3 linked regions of the Arabidopsis thaliana genome follow. The protein of the gene in region 2 interacts with the protein of the main gene of each other region in a pairwise test. Each region holds a gene or a part of one and is shown on either strand. Other genes may lie near its edges. The genes, in order: AT1G72570, OFP10 and bZIP48.

Region 1 (4,763 bases), on a different chromosome or scaffold from region 2:
AACCGAGCATATAAATAAAATAAAAATTATATAAAAAGTTTTTTTTTTTTTTTTAACATCTGATATTACTTTAGTTTATCTCAAGAAGTCCATAGAAACCTTCAAATTTCCATTGACACCAATTATTTTCACCATGGCATGAGGGAATTAGCTCGATACGGGTTCAAAATTAATCAAACTATCAAAGGCTTGGATGGATTTGATTATGAGTTAAATAAGTTTCACTTAAATTTGTAACGCTTTTCCTTAAAGTACGACCACGACAGAAGAAGGCACACAAATTGAGGAATCGCCTCTCCTCAACTTGGTGCAGTTAATATATACTAATTAATTAACACTTATGTTATGGATCCTGTAAATAATGAATGCATTAACTTTTTTCAATTAAAAATAAAAACGAAATTTAATCAAAGTATATCATAGAGAATAATATATAGTGGATTCTGATAACTTAATTTGCTAAAAAAGTTGTATATATGTAGACCGGCCTCAATTACTTAGGAATATATGTTTATTAAACCATAAATGATTAAACAGACTGGACGAACTTATTTCCTCAAACCAACCGTACGTGGGAATAGTCTCTCCGGCGAGGAGTTTACGGTGTCGGTTAGTGGCCGGCGCCAGAGCTGGTGGGAGAATGTTTGGCCTGGTCGCTATCAACAATCGTTGAGCTTGAACATATCCTCTTCACGTCATATCTATTTATATCGAAATTGGTTACAGCGTTTAGGCCTCTGAATTTAATTGCCGCGATATCGTACGCCTCCGCTGCTTCTTCTTGCGTGCCTTCATCATAGTTACAAAATGTGATATTTAATAATTCAAAGGCTATGATATAATTCCATATGTATAGAAGTGGTTCATACTAAATGTTCCAAGGTACAAGTCCTTGTTTCCAGCAACTCTTCCAATTCTGGCTTGCCACCTTCCATGTTGATGATGCCTACATGAGTTATACATGCATGATCATCATGATCTAATTCCATGCATGTACATGTACATATATAAATATATACAAGTTTCACATATATGTCCAAATCAAACCTTGTAACTCCTCTATACACGGAAGCTCCCCTCGAAAACCCGCTGCTATTCCTATGATTATGATATGTAATTACAAAGCGTTTGTTAATGGTTAAATGCATATGACTATATAAGGTCCATAAATATCATTACAAACCCACTGTTGAGTAATTACCTCCTCAACATGGCAACAAATTCTTGCCGATTCATGTTATTGAGTTCCTCGATCTCCTTTTCGTAATTACTCAACTGAATAAAAGAGCGTCAAAGGAACTGATATCACAAGCCAAATCTATGTAGTTCCATCAAAATCAAGTCAATAAAATCGGAAAATGATTACATTCAAGATCCAAAATATCGAAATAAGTATGGAAACTGTTATGTTGCATGTATATAAGTGTACATATATAAAACACACTTGCATGTAATAAAGGAGTTAGAAGTGGAGCTAGGTACGGGACCAGAAAGATCAAACTCACAGGGAAATTTAAGTGAGTGGTAGGACCCCAATACTTCAGAGCCGCTAAATCATATGCCCTCGCTGCTTTCTCCTCCTCATCATACCCTCCTATTTTAGTAAGTATTAATTCTACTATTAAATGTTTTTCTATAATTATCAGAAGGTAACAAGGTTAATTTTTACTTCGAAGGCCAAAAATAGGGCAACAAGAAATGAACGAGGGATCTCATGCATAATAGGTTGTAAAATAAAGTTCTGGCTTACCAAGATACACTGTGATTGATCAAGAAGCGAATTCGAAAGTACATACGAAGCCAAAATTAAATAATTGTTAGTAAGATTATTGATGCATGATAGCATATTGAATCGGAAAATTATTTTGTATTTGTTTTTTCTGACCTTGTCTTCCTCTCCTTGTCTGTCCCTCCTTCTTACAGCTATTATCCCATAAGTGAGCTTCATATCTCCCTGTCCATCTATGCCTGTATACACGCACAACATAAATATGTGTCGACACAATTATACATAATCTACAAAATAAAATGACAAATATACATAAGTAACATAATTGTGGCATTCACATTTTTCTTACGTGTAAGTTTGAGACATCATTTAAACCAAAACAAATGTTTGAGACGTCATTATTTAATAACGTACGTACCTTGTAACTCCACGATACTGAGAAGTTCTTTGTCCATAACTATCAACCGACTTCCGAGGAACGGATTCCTTTACCTGAGGTTTAACAACCAATCTCTTCCGCTTCTCATCTACCTTAACCGGTTCTTCGACCCGTGCGGATACATTCGATTCGTTGATCAAATCAGAACAAGCCCCATGGCTCAAAGCCAATGATAGCATTGAGCCATTGGTGTTATAACCAGTCTCTTCGTTACTAAAATGACTAATATTATTGCTCGTACCAGCCTCTTCAGTAACGTAATGACTCGAGAGTGGGAATGCTGGAGTGCCTTGCTCTAACCAAGATTTGAAAACCGAGACCGAACCGACCCTCTCAAAACCTCCATAATCATTGCTAAGGTTCGGATCTAGGTTCGGGTAATGTGGTGTAACTACGGTTTGGTCGTGGAGAAGGTAACCGGGTGGGTTTAACCTGTTAACCACAGTGGTGCAGTTGACATTGGTTTGGTTATGGTTTATAGGATACTCGGTTTGATGAGAGTTTGAGAGGAGATCTTCCACCTTTGGAACGTCTTCATCATGATGATGATGATCAAAGTTAATATCATATCTCCAAACTACACATAAAATAGAAATCAAATTAAGAATATTAATAGTGGCCACACCAACAACATATATATACCAGGGGGATGATGTGTGAAGAAGAGAGTACCATCGGAACCGTCATGCCTAAGTTCTTCTTCTTCACTATTGCAGATTCTCAAAGGAGGTGTCAATGAAAATCCCAACCATTTCTTCATCTCTCTCTCTCTCTCTAGCTGTCTTTCTCGCTCTTAGTTTATATGTATAGGGTTTCGTTTTATATGATTTGTAGTCTCATACGTGCGAATATACATTAATATTTTTCATAAGTCTAAAACATTTAATAAATTATATAATTAAAAAGGTGGAAAAAAGATTTGAGACAAAACAGGTGGCGGTGAAGTTTTGTCGTAAGCATGAAAGAAAGGAAGAGGAAGTTTCTCTCTCCCTCACTCTTTCACATTCTCTTTCACACACACTTGCATCTGACTTCTAGAGTTTTGTGCCCACTCTCCCTCGGATCTTTTCGATGTATACGTATATATATATGGGAGATACACATGACACACTACAATGAAAATTTTCGTTCTTTGGTATTTGATTAACTTTTCCGTAAAAAAAGCACACAGTAGCGCTTAAAAAAGTCAGTATTTTGTTTCTTTCGAAATATGTTAATTAGACAATAATACATTTCTTTTATTAATGTCTTTCTTTCGATATAATTTGGGATATTTTTTAATAAACTTAAAGAACATTACATAATTTAAAAGTAAACAAAATTTGTACTAAAATTAGTAGTATTGCAAGGAAATTTCTCCTTAGACGATAAAAATGTGTTTTTGATTGCTCATTCAATCGATCCGTTTGAAAATGATTCTAACTGTGATGGAGAAGCCTGAAATGATCTTGCTGTTTTCGCAGATTAGACAAAGATCAATCTAAAAGATAAAAGATATATATAGCTGGAGTGTTTGGCAATATGCTATCTAACTCATAAAATTTGCCTCAAGTGTGAGAAGCGGATAATGTGACGGTATAACCTTTGAAAACAGACACACAAAATATGATAGAACAAAAGAATAAGTGATCTCTCTTATTTGGTTGATTATATTGCATATGTTGCTTATAGATAGAAAATGAAATTGTGTTCCAAGCTGTTAACCAAGACTTAGTGGGTAGTTTGTCCATACTCGCCACCCACATAACGAAATGTCGTTCTACACAAAAAGCCACAATTGTTTTCTTTAACAACTGAAAAATGAATTTGTGATTTTATATCTTGCTACGGGCATCGGAAATATTCCAACCTCTTCTACGAGGTAATCGACAATGCCATTACAGAACAAACCTTTTCTTACAATTACCTAGTTTGTAGTATACAAAATAAAAATCGAGAGGTCTTAGCTACAGAAGTTGTCTCCATGAATAATTTCACAGTAAGTAGTTTAGTTATATGTATTAATGTGACAATTTGTTTTATAAAACATTAGATTAAGAAAGTGAAAAAACACCATTATATTTGCTAACTCACAAAACATTTATACATGTCTATCTTAATCTATCAGTATGCAACACCTAAGGCCTAAGGTGAGAGAGATTCAAGCCCATGGGCTGATTTACTGAATTCAGATGACGGTTAATTTTCAATTCGCTGGCAATAATATTTATAGTTCTCTGGGAAAATATTCTGCAAGCTAATAAAAATCTGTGTATAAAAAAAAAAAAACCCTACAGCTCCGTCTTCTCTCCAGTCTCACAATTTTCCTCATATTTATAAATCCGTAAGGGAAATTTTCTAGAAACTCACCAAAAAAAAGTATTCTTTGAATTCAAAGAGAAACCCAAACTAGGGTTTCCATAATCCCTTTTCTACTATATCTCCCACTCTCATAAATCCGATCGCTAAAATCGCCACGATCCTTACTTTCTGGTAAGCTCTCAAGCGAAACCCACTAAAAGTTTCGTCTTTTTCTTCTTCGCATCAAAATCTGATAAGGGAAGAGAACAGTGAAGGAGAGAAGCTAGCTGACGATACTAATTCAAGGCATTGTTT
Region 2 (3,242 bases):
ATGTCATCGGGGTTGATCTGTAACGAGTCTGTGAGCTGGGTGACGTTTCACAGCGCGTATGATTTTGGTTACCTTGTGAAGATTCTCACGCGCCGGCAGCTTCCGGTGGCGTTGCGTGAGTTTTTAGGGTTGCTTAGAGCTTTCTTCGGTGATAGGGTTTATGATGTGAAACATATTATGAGGTTTTGTGAGCAGAGATTGTATGGTGGTTTGGACCGGGTTGCTCGGTCTCTTGAAGTTAACCGGGCGGTTGGGAAATGTCATCAAGCCGGTTCGGATAGTTTGCTGACGTGGCAGGCGTTTCAGAGGATGAGGGATTTGTATTTCGTTGAGGATGGGGCGGAGAAACACGCCGGAGTTTTGTATGGTTTAGAGGTTTTTTGAGGGATTTATAATTAATTAATTTAATTAATCTTTGTTAATCATTTATACAGTCGAAATCGAAATTATCTTATTCATCTCTCGTTTTAACCAAATCCAAAAACCAAAACGAAATAACTCAATTTGGTTTTGTTTAACCAATTTACACTTCAAAACTTTTTGTGCAGTAAAATATTATCGTTACGTTAGAGCTAGGCTTTGAGGTATAACTTTGATTTTTGTTGGTGTTGTTTAATAGTTTACATCTAGTCATGGAATCATAAATTGAAATTATTCACAATATTGTAACATCTATATATAGAGAGAGATATGAGGAGGATTTAGTTCCTCATTTTGAAGAAGTTTGGTGTGAGTCATCATCATTGTTATCAAGAGGATTGTTAACATATAGACGAAGCAATCTCCCAAGTGACTTCCCACGTCGGTCGTGTGGTGGTTGGAGATGTGAACAGACGTCGACAAAAGCACGGACGATGAGATTGTGTTGAGGAGAAGGGTTTATGTCCAAGAAACACCTTAGAAGCTCCTTAAGTTCACTTTCCGTCTCGATATATCTCTCTTCGATCATCTGATTCATCGACTTCTTGTAATCTTCGAACGGATTGATTGATTCTTTAGCCATCGCGACGCTCTCATCGATCTTAGGACATGGGCTGCGTAAAACCGTGGGAGAAACCGGTGGTCCCGGGGTGTAGTGGCTGTGAGAGGAAGGTGGAACGGTAGAGCCGCAACCGCATGCCATAAAAATGGGTTTGAATATGGTTTTGAGTATATACTTCATCATCTTCTTGAAAGACATTTTTTTTTTTACTAGAGGAAGAGAAAACAAGTTGAGATTATTGAGTGAGGATGTTGGTGTGGGAAAGTTTGTTAAAAGAGGAACCTTTTTTTCATTTAACTTAGCTTGGAGATTCAGCATTGCTCATTGCTTTGGAGATGCACAATTTTGATGGATTTCTTTTTTAAGGAAAATAATACCATCTTGAGGTGAATTCAAAGTTATATATGATATCATTTGTAAGAAACTATCTCGAGTGATATCAAAGGATTGGACATAGAAACCGATTTGAACCAAAAAGAAATCTCTCAAACCACAACCGAACCAATATGTTTTCGTCAAGATTTTTGATGAACGGAAATATGTTTTAGTTTCGATCTGGTTACCTTTTTGGTAAACCGGAAATGGAGCATGTAAAACTACTAAGCACCCGTCTACAACTCTAAAAGGTTTTGCAGTTTCACATGAACAAGACCAATATTAAGAAATCAATGGGCTAAGGCTAATTCTATATTAAGCCTGAGAAGCTAACAAAGAAAAAAAATGAAGAATACAACGAAGGGGTTGGTTTCTCTACTTTTATTTTGCAATCTCTATTCTATGATAATGCAATGCAGCTACTGTACAAGTACAACATTAACTCTGGTTTCACCGAAATCAGATTCTATGTACAGATATATGGTGGTGCTTGTAATGTGGTATGGTAACTTCAGCTACCTGTAGGTGATCTCGTAGCAGTGGATTCTTCTGGTGTTGGGCTCGATGGAGTTTGTGGCTGCTCCAAGATTTTGTTGTCGCTCGGTCCAGCGTGGTCTTGATCAAATGTAATCATCTGGTTCCAGTCTGGTCCAGCTAATGATGAAAGAGTCAAGGAGCTCTAAACAGATATCATATTTGGGGAGGAAAAAACTCAAAAGCTCAAAGAGAGATTAGATTAAATCACAGAAAGTGATAGAAATCAAGGATACATTCATCTGGCCACATGTCTGTGATGCTGACTTCGCCTACCTCTGATCGAAACCAGTAATCTACACCCATCTGTATATAATGTAACATACAGGTAAATATGAATTAAGTCAAGCATGATTTTTTAGATATGGTTACTTTTCCAGACTGTGATTATGTACATTGGTGAAAATTTTAAGCTGAGGAAGCAGTTGGGACTTACATCCAAATCTGGAGGAACAATCTTCATGATACCATCGACAAAGTCATGAGATTCGATGTCAGAGTAAACTCTTTGCGTATCATCAACTTCCTGTGTTTCCATGTTTCTTTCGGTGCTTTCCTCTTTCATCGGCATAGATACATCATGGTTCTCAGGGAGACCAGATGTTGATGGAAGATTTGAAGGTACATCAGGGACATTAGAGGGTTCATCAGGAACATTTGAAGGTTCATCAGCCTGAGGAATGTCCTCAAAGCTCTCTTCGAATTGACTAAAAAAGCACAATATAAATGTCAGTCTCACTTCCATGTTACAGATTTATCCAGGGCAAGCATAACGTTTGAGGACAGTGTTACCTGACTAGGTACACGTCTATTGGTCCCATTGTGCTTCTCAGAATGATTCTGTACCTCCTCTGATAACCACCAGCCTGATTAATGGCAGGATAAGAGGTGAGAATCGTTACAGACAGTGCATCGCTCATTTGGTTTTGTGCGCTCTTAAGCTTACCTCATCAGGATCTGGAACCTCAAGAGTTGTTCCATGCGGTGCCTTTACAGCTATCAGCGTCTTATTCTAAAATAGGCACCACAAAAACATGTTTCCCCAGTGAGAAGAATGCAAGGCAAAGAGAAACACGTAATTACTAGAAGGAGACCAGACCTGGAAGCATGGTAGGTTCTTAATGTCGTTTTCAGTGACGAACAGTAACCTAAAAAGTGGAGCGTCAGAACAAACAGATATGTTTTATTGTACCTTTCGGCAGAAGAAATAGCAGGGGACGCTTACCTTTTGTTGTTTTCATCCTCACTCAAGCTTGTTAATCTTTCTTGTGATTCTCTGCAACCAGGTCGACTCTCAAAAAGATGATACAAAACAGCAGAAAAGGGAAGGAAAATTATCTGCGAAAATACC
Region 3 (3,162 bases), on a different chromosome or scaffold from region 2:
AAATATATATATAGAAGAAGGAAAAAAAATTGTCAATAGATTAGAAGCATGGACTAAATTGACATTTCATAAACTATCAGATAAAATGAATAATATTTTGTAAATTCAGATTAGTACTCCGCAAATAAATTTGATTGAGAACTTCTAACGTGCCCGACTGGAGTAAAATAAGATTCCAAATGACACTGGAGTTTTAGCCAAATTTCAATCACGTGGCGAAATCTTGTTCGTTCTTAAACTGCCAGTTAGAGATGCAAAAAGAATCAAAGTTTAGGGAGTAAACTGTAAATACTTCCTTTTCAAGTAAGTATTTGATGATAATGGCTCCCTGATTAGAAATGTCTCATTATTTTAGACCATTATCACTAAGCAGTAAGCACTATAAGTCTATAATCGCAGAAGATAGATAAAATGGAAGTAGGGTTTTCTATGGGTTTGGGAATCATGGGAAAGTCCATGTCAATGAATATATTGAAGAACGGATTCAAAGTCACTGTATAGAACAGAACACTCTCCAAGGTATAAAAACCAAAATTTTCTGCTTTTGATTGTGTTAATAGATTACGTTTTGTCTGATAAAGTTGGACACTTTGAGTAATACTAATTATCTTCAAACTCTCTTGGAAAACTATTGTTGTTGTTCTTGTTAGATTTCAGTTCACAAACAAGCTGTCGGAGATCAGAAGCTTCTTCTTTGAGTTTAGAGTTCTCCTTCAATACACAATTTTGAGTCTCCGATACGCGGTTCAGCTTATCGATAAGACAGTTGTTCTCGTTGCGAAGCCTTATTACCTGAGACCAGAGTTCATCAAGATGTCTCTGTTTCCTCATCCTTGACCTCCTTGCAGATTCTCTGTTCGAAAGCATCCTTCTCTGTTTCCTCTCGTCGAGTACCATGATGCTTTGATGATGATCTTCGTCGGAAGTTGAGTTGTTGCTTATCATGAGATCTTGACTGTTGGATGATGAGGAATAGTTGTTGTTGTTGATGATCAAATCGTTTAGGTAGTTTAAGGAAGAGGTTGGAGATGAAGGCATGTTTATTACGTTGTATTCCGGTGATAGATATTGGAAATATCCGTTGATTTCTGCCGGAATCATGGTTTTAGTTTGGTTTATATGAGTATGTAAGAGTTTCTGTGTTTTTATTTTGTGTGAAGAATTGGGAAGTTAGTTTTGAAGTAAGAGGAGGAAGTGGACCAAGGGTTTTATAATGGGGTTGTAGGAGAATCATGTAGAAGTGGGTCCTATGGATTATAAGAGCATAGAATAAGAAGAAAAAATGCGATGCTATAATTCGTAATTTATAGTGGTGGAACATGGACAAAGAAATGGAAAGAGTTTAGTCATAACAAAAATATTGTTAGTGTTTTATATATAACTTGTTCATTGGAAGTGAGAGCAGAAACTGCGAGAAGGTTTTTAAAATTTTGGTTTTTTTATATAATTTAAACCCAATAATAGTTAACTTGAGTTGTTTATTTTTGTAACCTAGATTTATACACGTAAACCCTTTTTTATTTTAATTTATGGTAAATTATATTAAAAAAAAATATTTATACAATGTTTAATACGCAGTAAAAAAAAATACAATGTTTAATACAAAATTTTCATATCTTTTAGTTTAAATCTATCCTTAGCATTTGTCTTGTCGCAACCAAGTTTGGATGCTTCCCTTCCCTAGAATGAACTTATAGAGAGAGAGAGAGAGTGATGCGGCTAAACTTTAATTAAAAGATTGGATACGTTTGAGCGCCAAGTTCGATCCATTATATGCATTTAACTTAAAAGATTCGACATGTCTATTGTTTAAAATATAACTAACTAAAGTAATTAAGTACTGACTTGTCCCTCATTCGTTTTCCTTTATAAGTGATCATTAAATAAGAACCCACACTCTACATCGTGGAGAAATATGTGTAGAAATTTTAGTTTGTTAATTTATATCATAAATTATAATTATAATATATTTTATTTAATAAGTTTATTTTGTAATTTTATATATTTAATTTATTATATCATATTTCAATGTAATTTTGCAATCGAATTAATAAATTTGACAATAATTCATCCAATGTTAAAATCGTTGATATCTAGAGAGTGAGACATGTTGATACGCAGAGAAATTCATCAATTCATAGAAACTAATCATAGCAAATTTAGAGGATTAACCGAAAACATGATATATTATGTTTAATTATGATATTAATAAAAATATTTGTATTAATGATTAAGAAGTATTTATGAATATTAATTATGGTTAAAAAACGTAATTTGATGTTTGTTGCGTTATCCCATTCTACATAGGATCTCGTTTGTTTCAATATTTTGGAAAATATAATAATGAATTTGAATATATAAAAGATATGATTTTTGTCATAGTATTTTTCGTTGTGAGTTTTGTTGCATTTAGTGTCCAAGTGAGTCTTTTGAATTTTAGAAGTCTTAGTGTCTTTATGTGTATTATGTTATTTTTTATGTCTTTTACACTACAATGGACATTCTTATCACGAGAAAAATGCTATAATATGTCTTTAATAACTTTTTCATGAACGCTATTTTAGGGCATTGTTATTATAGGTACCTCACATACAGTAGCGTGAGTTCAGTATGCTATGTTATAGTTTAATAACATAGCTATAAAGAACAGTTGTATTATCACGTTTAATTTTCTTAAAAAAATTATATAATATTTGATTTTTCGTGCTATGTTATATATCTCTAATATAGCTGTTGCGAAATGTTGTTTTATCGTGGTTTGCCTTTTTTCAATTGGAAAATAATTAGTCAAATTATGTGCTATGTTATGTTCTTATATCAATTTATAAGCTACGATAGATGATTAAAACATAGCATTAGTCATATGTTAAATATTCTATTACCTGTATTCTTATAGCATTTTCTGAGATGTGATTATAGTACACATAACACATAACCTGCTTTATAAAATCTCATACATTGACCATTGATTAAACATAAGTTTAGATCCAAAATACATAAGAAAAGTCTCAAGCACAAAATAAAGCAATACAGGAGCTAAGTGCATATGTTCTCTTTCCTTGTGTGGTAGGATGCAAAGCGTGTCGTAGACCAAGATGTTGCAGATCCTTACGTGCATTAAGACCATCCTTAGATTTTCCACAATGCAACAATGTGGATACA

The links.
Region 1: the proteins of OFP10 (region 2) and AT1G72570 interact in a two-hybrid assay, tested with the Arabidopsis thaliana proteins (one large-scale study listed by BioGRID).
Region 3: the proteins of OFP10 (region 2) and bZIP48 interact in a two-hybrid assay, tested with the Arabidopsis thaliana proteins (one large-scale study listed by BioGRID).

Annotation. Positions count from the first base shown.
Region 1 is NC_003070.9:27,329,546-27,334,308, reverse strand, and holds AT1G72570 (Integrase-type DNA-binding superfamily protein), read right to left. Parts: upstream 2,929-4,763; coding exon 2,841-2,928; intron 2,746-2,840; coding exon 2,148-2,745; intron 1,969-2,147; coding exon 1,886-1,968; intron 1,760-1,885; coding exon 1,751-1,759; intron 1,595-1,750; coding exon 1,506-1,594; intron 1,276-1,505; coding exon 1,202-1,275; intron 1,099-1,201; coding exon 1,048-1,098; intron 947-1,047; coding exon 870-946; intron 790-869; coding exon 611-789; downstream 1-610.
Region 2 is NC_003076.8:7,362,747-7,365,988, reverse strand, and holds OFP10 (Ovate family protein), read right to left. Parts: upstream 1,301-3,242; coding exon 710-1,300; 3' UTR 563-709; downstream 1-562. Other genes in the region: CAF1b (Polynucleotidyl transferase, ribonuclease H-like superfamily protein), read left to right, coding at 1-384; E2F1 (E2F transcription factor 1), read right to left, coding at 1,869-2,011, 2,128-2,197, 2,328-2,598, 2,684-2,757, 2,838-2,903, 2,991-3,039, 3,117-3,167, 3,242-3,242. UniProt on the Arabidopsis thaliana protein: Transcriptional repressor that may regulate multiple aspects of plant growth and development through the regulation of BEL1-LIKE (BLH) and KNOX TALE (KNAT) homeodomain transcription factors.
Region 3 is NC_003071.7:1,329,858-1,333,019, reverse strand, and holds bZIP48 (basic leucine-zipper 48), read right to left. Parts: upstream 1,102-3,162; coding exon 601-1,101; downstream 1-600. Other genes in the region: AT2G04137 (phosphogluconate dehydrogenase (decarboxylating), NAD-binding domain protein), read left to right, coding at 412-495, 658-837.